Lepisosteus oculatus: one gene and its partner. The protein of the gene in region 1 interacts with the protein of each later gene in a biochemical or structural test. Links are inferred from orthologs where the notes say so. Each region holds a gene or a part of one and is shown in the gene's direction. Other genes may lie near its edges.

Region 1 (3,754 bases):
ATGACTGAAAATAGACACTGGAAACCAATTGCCATAAACCTGTTTTAATATTAAATTTTAAAAGAACAAAATATGTCAGAGAAATGACGGTACTTTTTTTCTGGGAATTACTCCAGCCTGAAGTAAATGAATGCAAATACTCTTGTAAACCACAAATACACTCCTTATTTGATTTTGGACAGCAGTTCCCATAATGAATCACGTCCCACTGACAATCATAGGCATCCCACAGAGACATTCCCGATAACTGATGCTATGCAGTTTCTTAAAATAGATGCACAGGGGCTCGGAGGATCTGGTGGTGAGAGATGACCAGTGCTGTGCACAAGGTCTTCAGCCCACAGACATGTGTCCACTGGTGTGGCAGATTAGGATCAGTGGATGTGCTTGGGTCTGTGGGCAGAGGACATTCCTGTGTGCCGCCTGACTGCTCTGTGGATGCCTGTCTCAAACCAAACGCTGCAGCAGTATCGAAATTCAATTCCTCTCCCTTCATGTCCCGTCCAGCGCCTCACTCCGTAGACACACAAGGGCAGACTTCTCCGGTCCTGCTAAATTTCTTTTAGCCGGCTCTTAAGAGACTGTCTTAAGAGGCGTCTAAGACAGAAACGACCGCAAAAGCAGCGGTTTAGAGGTGACACAGGGTTTTCGGGCGCAGCTGGAGGCCAGAACTGCTCGGCTTCATCGCCACCCGCGCAAGGCCACCCGGGCGAGGCACGGCTCGAAACACGCACACTGCAAGCTGCGGCGCTTCACACGAGGGTCCAGGTTTTCGAGCCCCCAGAAGCTAAACTCGTTGGGGCTCTCTCGCGCGTGCGTGGGCGTGAGTGCGAGTGGGGACTAGAAGCGGGGGGGGGTCGTGCCAGTTATCTGGCCCGCTCTGCGCCCGGAGCCGCCCTGGAAGTGGCACCCTCCTCGGCGTGGCGAGAGAGACCCGCAGGTCAGCGCGTCGCCTGGAAGAGGGGGGACTGCGGGAAACGGGCCGGTGGGTGTTGCCGCTCATCTCACGTCACGGAAGCGTGGTTGTGAAGTGGTGGGGACGGAGAAAAAGTTATAAATCTCAACCCCGAGGGGAGTGGGAAAGGGATGACTGAAGCCCCTTTAAGCGAGGCGCGCTCGGACTGGATGCTCACCATCACACTCAGGACTCAAGCTACTGTAGGAATCCTGCTGTTATTCCCGTTTCTTGCTCTCTGAACGCCGGGATGTCAGTGTGCTAATCCATCGCGTTGTTAACTCTGGACCGTCACTGGGGCAGCTGTAAAAAAGGGAATTGTGCTCTCCGAACCTTCTTTGCCGAAAGGAAAGGCATTCAAGAAACGCGATGATGTATCTTGTGTTGATAGTACTTTGCGGACTCTCTGGAAGCGCACTATCAAAGGGTGAGTTTTGATTTATTACGAACTTGCTGTGTGTAAGTAGTGCAAGTTAGACAGAAACCAATTTCTCGTCGTTTAATAAAGATCCATGCAGGCAGCGCTCAGTTCGTTTGAACAACCTACTAAAAAAATCGTTTTAAGCAGCTCTTCATTAAGCAAATACATTTCGTTTTGAGCAGAAAAATTGAATTGAGTTTGGGTTGTCGTTTTCAACGGCTTTTAATTTCTGTTTTCCTTTAAAACACACAAGAAAGCGAAGTGTATCATCATCATCACCGACCTGGGCTGGGTACTACACAGACAAATACTACAGGAACTACACTGATTTTTTTAAAAATAATAATTGTTATATTTTAACAAAGTGTAATTCTAAAATGAATCTAATAATACATATTACATCAGTTACGATTTAACTCACGATTTTTTAAAGAAGATTATACTAAGGTGAAAAATTAAAGCTGTCCGCGATTCTTTTAATGATATACCAGTGAACATCAAGGTCTGGAGTTGCCTTTTCAGTGCGGCAGATAATTCTGATATACGGACTTTACAGATCACGTCTGCAGGTGCGCAACCATCCCAGTTAATCCGGCCGCCCCGCGTTGAAGAGCTCAAATAACGGGGATTTTTAACCATCCTTGTTTTCGGCTCTGGTTAAATCAGAGAAGGGCGGCGTTTCCTTTGCCTGATAAATTAGTTGAATGGAAGGGCTAATGCAAATTACAAAAGGTCATGACCACTAGAAGGAAACTTTCCAATTTACAGGAACTCGGACTAATCAACATATATTACTAAAACAGGCACGCAGGAGTGAACTGGAGTACCACCGAATGATACGTGCTGTGTTAGTTAGTCTTTGTCAGTGTTGACTTGCTAGTAAATACGTGGTTGACTCATGAGCAGGTTCTTCGATTCTGTACTCACCAGTACATTGTTTGCTACCGACAAATGATGTTTGGGAACAGAAACATTTTGCCTGCTGCTTCTTCTCCTTGTTGAAATACAGCGTATATAGCCAAGTCGTCTTAAAGTTGTTCGTTGAATTCGTTTAAATAGATTCGAAGAAAATTACATGAATTATTGACACCCGCTGAATGCTATTATATGGTTGACCGAAAACATAATTTTAACTTGCTGCTTATTTGTAAAGCTTAATAAGCGATGGGAAAAAATGAAAATGAAATGGGAAAAAATGTATTAAAATAGTCTTGTTAATTCCGTGGTTATTGATAAGGAAAACGTAGAAAGCATTGAAAAATTGACAGATTTTAACACAAACCGTTATTGGGTTCAAATTGAACACCGACGCATCTTTTCGATAGGTTCTCAATAAAACATTTTCCATAAGTAGTATTTTAAGTCTTGTATTTTATACCTAGATGAACGCAAATATGTGCTTTCGATACAAGCTGGGTGTTAACAAACAACGAGCTTAAAACGAACACGCGTCAGTTGAAGAACATTCAACACAACGGTTGAAAAGTATCGGAAGCAGAAAAACAAAACTCAAAGGTCGTGAAGATGTTAAGTAAACGAATTACATAAAAAGTGTATTTTTTCCTGACGCGTTCTGATGTGATTATCACTTCACAGTGGGTGTGCTCTGTGGGATTTTAAGGGTTGGCTGGACCTCTTCTGCGTGGGAGATGCTGAGAAACACCAGCAACTGGCTTTTTCTGTGTAAATTCCGGAGATACTGTAAATTCATGTGGTAAAAATGTACGCCGGTTGTACAGCATCGCTGATGCGTTGCTCCAACGTCCGTTCATAGCCTTTCAATCCGGTGGAGACATTTTGCCCTGTCTGTCGATCTTCAGATCACTGAAAGTGTGATTTCATTTATTGCGAGAGCAACCGAAGAGTGTGTTGGTCATTCAAATGATATTCAGCTTAAAGTTCAGAGCAGAAAAAATAAATAAAATTAAAACAGACCCACTCTCCCGTTCAACAAGCGGTCTTGGGTCTTCTTTAGGATCTGTGCCCTATGGCTAGCATCACAGGAGTGAGTCTTTTCCCTTCACATTGCGGCACGGTGATAACCCTACTGCTCGAAACCCAGACCAAAAGATCACTTTATACCTCAGGGATTCGGCCAGCAGGACGCCAAGTTCCACGCAATACAGATAAACCTAAACTGAAGGGAAAAATATATAAAAAAAAAACAACAAACCGCTTCCCACCCTTTTGCCCTCTCCTCCCAAAATTCAAGCCGCTCACCGCGATTCGTGAAAATGCCTTTCCACCTGTTCGGTTTCGAGAAGAATGGCGAACAGCCGGGAGGGAAGACTAATGAGGCTTGAAATCTATGCGGCCCGCAGTATTCAGCGGTGTGATTGATCAGCCTGGTGTGCGGGTTCGAGAAGGTCAGGGCTTTC
Region 2 (3,754 bases), on another chromosome or scaffold:
TCAGGGCCACAAATCACTGTCCGGAGCAAGTCCAGAGTGAAAACAAATCTCCGCTGCACTGCTGACACCACATCAAGTCTTAGTTACAGCCCTGGTACTGGAGAATCGCAGGCTTTGAGGTAATATAGGAAATTTCAAATCTCCAGCAGCTCATGATCGGGAGTCAGATTGAAACAAGAGCCAAGGCGCACAGGAGGAAATTAAGAATTAGGACATTCATCCACTGCAGAGAAAGAGTTTAGAGTAATTTGAGTTTAGAGCTAAATTCAGCTAATGATGTCTGTAATTAATTCACTTAAAAACTGCTGACTTTTAATTTTTGTATGCATTGGTATACTATCATACCACTTGACTGTATTCACGTGAGCCCACAAGCCGTCTTAATTATGTCTCTCAACGATCACCAGAAGAGCTGGGAACATCTATTCAATAGGTGACATTGCGCGAAGATTTAACTTCAGAATTAAGACCTCAGGCTCTGCAGCTCTCCTAATCTGAGTTGTAGACGCACGCCTTGCAATCCCCTTCACTAACCTAAAAAAATAGGACATATTAAAAAGGTAAGGACATGTGCAGAAAGCACGCCGAAATTTCATCAGCCTGACGGTGTATTAACAGCATATATATTCACTGAAAACAACGTGGTCAATTCATTGAATTGACAGTGTGGCATTTTTGGTTGTTCATATTAAATAAGATTTAATTTCCTTATCAAAGTCACCAGTATCATTATTATTATTATTTTTGTTTTTTAAGTGTTGTTAATAGCATAATGGCGTTTCACGTGGGGAGAAGTTCTGGAAGACTATCGCTGACAGTTCAGTAATGCATAAGCCCCGACTGCTCTCAAAGAGACAGGGAGAGGGAGGGCGAGTGAGAGAGGAACAGAGGGAGGGAGACGTCGAGGGGAGGAGATTCATTCAGGCTACAAGTTGAGAGGTAGTGAGAAGCAATTAGTGCCATGCATGTAACTGCACTGAGGAAATACTGATCGTCAAGACAAGTAAGCCAAGGAAGACCCTGCGCTTCGAGCATTAAGAGTACTTAAGGTGTGGATCCTGCCCAACGCAACGGTTCCATTTTGTATTGAAAGGACTGTGTGTTTGCATCCTTTGGATGAGCAATGATAGACCGGATTTTTTTTTTTTAGTATTTTAGTACTTCATTAGCGTAGCTAATTATGTTTGATTAATATTTTGGTTTACTAAAATTGATTGGCTTTGGGGAATGCCACACAAGGACGAGCTGTGCTGGTTTCTGCACGACCTATTATTCTGACTTTCCTGTAAGGTTACTGCAGCTATTTTTGAAGTTGCCAAAATTGTAATTTCGTGTCCTCCTGTGCAAACGGACGTCTACAACACGACACTGTTGCTAAAGCACACGTGTAGCGCTTGTGGAAGTTCTCTTTTCCTTCCAGTCTGAACGTCTCCAGGTTAACTCTGCCTGTTCAGAGGGACGTGACGATGCGCTCATTCCCTTACCGCAGCTTCACTGAGGAGGGATCCAGTAAAAACTGACTTACTGTAGCTTCTGTGCCAGTTTTTTTTTCCTCTCATTTCTTCTATTCATTTGTACGCCTGTTCCTTGCGTTATTGTATGTCAGTCTTGCGTTTCTGGAGGTGGATTTCATGCGGATCGATCGAATTCAGCGCTGGAAAATTGGATGAGAAACTCGAAATGAAAAATTTTACCCGCATCATCCAGATAATAACTGTTCTCCTCATTCAGTTATCACCTGCTCAGGTAAGCTGGTATTTTAAGATTCTTATTAATTTTGCCGTGATTTGGCCGCTGATACAGGTTGTGTATTAACTATTCCCATAGTACGTACTCTCTCTTTCAATGTCTGTCCAGAAGCATTTCTTTCTGGCGTGGAAAATGATAGCTGGAGCTAGTGACAGACCGCTTCCAGACCGGGTTAACTCGTGACTGCAGGGAGAAGCAACTTTAAAATTACTGGGTCTAGCACTGCGTGGAATAAGCAATTATTGTTTAAAATCGCACCAAATCCCGAAGTTACAGTATATGAAGAAAATCCCCCACAGGTAATTGACTCCAAATATTCTTGCTGGTGCAGTAAACGGTGGTGGCATCGACGTTGGTGAAGGTGGCGGTACGTTTAATAACGTACCGGTGATATACTTAGAGATAATTTAAAGTTCCCTCCTGGTTCATACCTCATACTCCGCAGAATCTCTGAGGTAGACCGTTGCTATTTGTAAAGAGTTCTGCTCCTTACAGTCTCATATTGAGCTTGTGCCAGGAGGTTGAGTCATCAAGACGAACGTGACTTATGGCATAGCGCTCATTTCCATTGTAGCCAGCATTTCTTTCTTTTTAGACGTACTGTATACTGTATCTCACCCGTGATTCGCTGTTGCGCTTCGACCCTAACCGCTCCCCCACCCACCCCATCAACCCACGCAGGCATACTGTACGCACCACTCCCTGTTTTAAGAAAGGAAGCTACAGCCTTGTATTAAATATTTTACATTGACAGCTGCCGCTTTTAAGTTTTATAAGGACTGCTACTGTAAGTTACAGTTTTACTTTGGTCTTCAGTGCAGTCTGTGGAGTGAATGAGGTAACTGCGGTAGGCTCTGGCTGTGTTTATACTGAGTCAAAGGTCTCAGGGAAACCCTAGCTAGGATTCCTGCACAATATGGCTGCCTGGCTGATGTTTCTTAAGTTTTCCTGTGACGGTCTGAAAATAATATTCTTCACCAAGACCATGGAGAAAAAAAAAAGAGAGAAAGTCACCTTTTCTGTGCAGTTGCACCGAGTGGATTTAGTTCTGACGGGGAAAAAAATGAAAGGTGGTGTTTGTTTGTTTGTAATTTGGGAACTGGACCCAAACAAAAACACCAAACTCTTTGAATTGTAACCCAATCGATGTTTCATGCGCACTTTCCTAACCTGGGACGTGCTACAGAGCCACGCACTGTGTAATGTTACCTCAGTGGCAGCTTTTGTGGCTGTGGAGGAGCCCCAATCAATGGGGGAGACGCCAGCCATTGAAAGTGGCATCAGGAGGAACGGGCCCACGACACCCCTCCCACCTTCCATGCGCCGCGAGCCACACAAAAGTAACAGTGTTAATTGTGTAGGCTGAAAGGCAAAGGAGCTCTGCTGGGTTATTCAGCTCCAAAGGCTGTGGAAGAGGAGCGGGGAATGGGGGTTAAATTCGCATCTGAGTGAGTGAGTGAGTGAGTCCTCATCGAGGCACCCTTCTGTCGGAATTCCTGGTATCCCCACCCTGGCGCGACAGAGCTGTAACCTTCCTGGACAGGCTGGTGTCTCTGGTCGGGTTTCTGGGTCATTGTGATCTCGTCGGGAGTGGGGAGCTGCTTCTGTAGCTATATCCAACCTCAGGGGTATTGACTGTGGGAGAGGAGGACAAAGCAGTCCTCTGTGCCCGGGCTCCAACGCTGTCAGTGTGAAGCCTTACCTTACCTTCTGCGCGTCTCCCAGGCAGGGGGAGTGACTCCCCTCATTCACGTCTGGTGCCACCCAGCAATGACACTTGCAAGGAAGTGCCACCAGCCCTGGCATCGAGGCATACCCCGTCTGTTAGACTAAAGACCCATTCAGCTATATTTCTCGCTGGGCAAACAAGCAGCTACACACTAGCTGCGTGAGTATCTCATGTATAATGCAAGTCACAGCCTCGGAGCCTATTCAGTTTTATTGTCTCCCAGTTCATAGACGGACATTCCACCAATTTGAGTAAAAGACTGCCACAGCCTGCGAG

Evidence for each region. The genes of interacting proteins can lie anywhere in the genome.
Region 2: the proteins of flt1 (region 1) and pgfb are reported together in a solved structure, tested with the Homo sapiens proteins (2 studies listed by BioGRID and IntAct, with this or other methods). The link is inferred for Lepisosteus oculatus from reciprocal best matches to the Homo sapiens genes FLT1 and PGF.

The regions. Positions count from the first base shown.
Region 1 is NC_090700.1:5,799,926-5,803,679, reverse strand, and holds the start of flt1 (vascular endothelial growth factor receptor 1), read left to right. Parts: upstream 1-915; 5' UTR 916-1,324; coding exon 1,325-1,382; intron 1,383-3,754. UniProt on the Homo sapiens protein: Tyrosine-protein kinase that acts as a cell-surface receptor for VEGFA, VEGFB and PGF, and plays an essential role in the development of embryonic vasculature, the regulation of angiogenesis, cell survival, cell migration, macrophage function, chemotaxis, and cancer cell invasion.
Region 2 is NC_090703.1:9,818,990-9,822,743, reverse strand, and holds the start of pgfb (placenta growth factor), read left to right. Parts: upstream 1-937; 5' UTR 938-1,599; coding exon 1,600-1,746; intron 1,747-3,754. UniProt on the Homo sapiens protein: Growth factor active in angiogenesis and endothelial cell growth, stimulating their proliferation and migration. It binds to the receptor FLT1/VEGFR-1. Isoform PlGF-2 binds NRP1/neuropilin-1 and NRP2/neuropilin-2 in a heparin-dependent manner.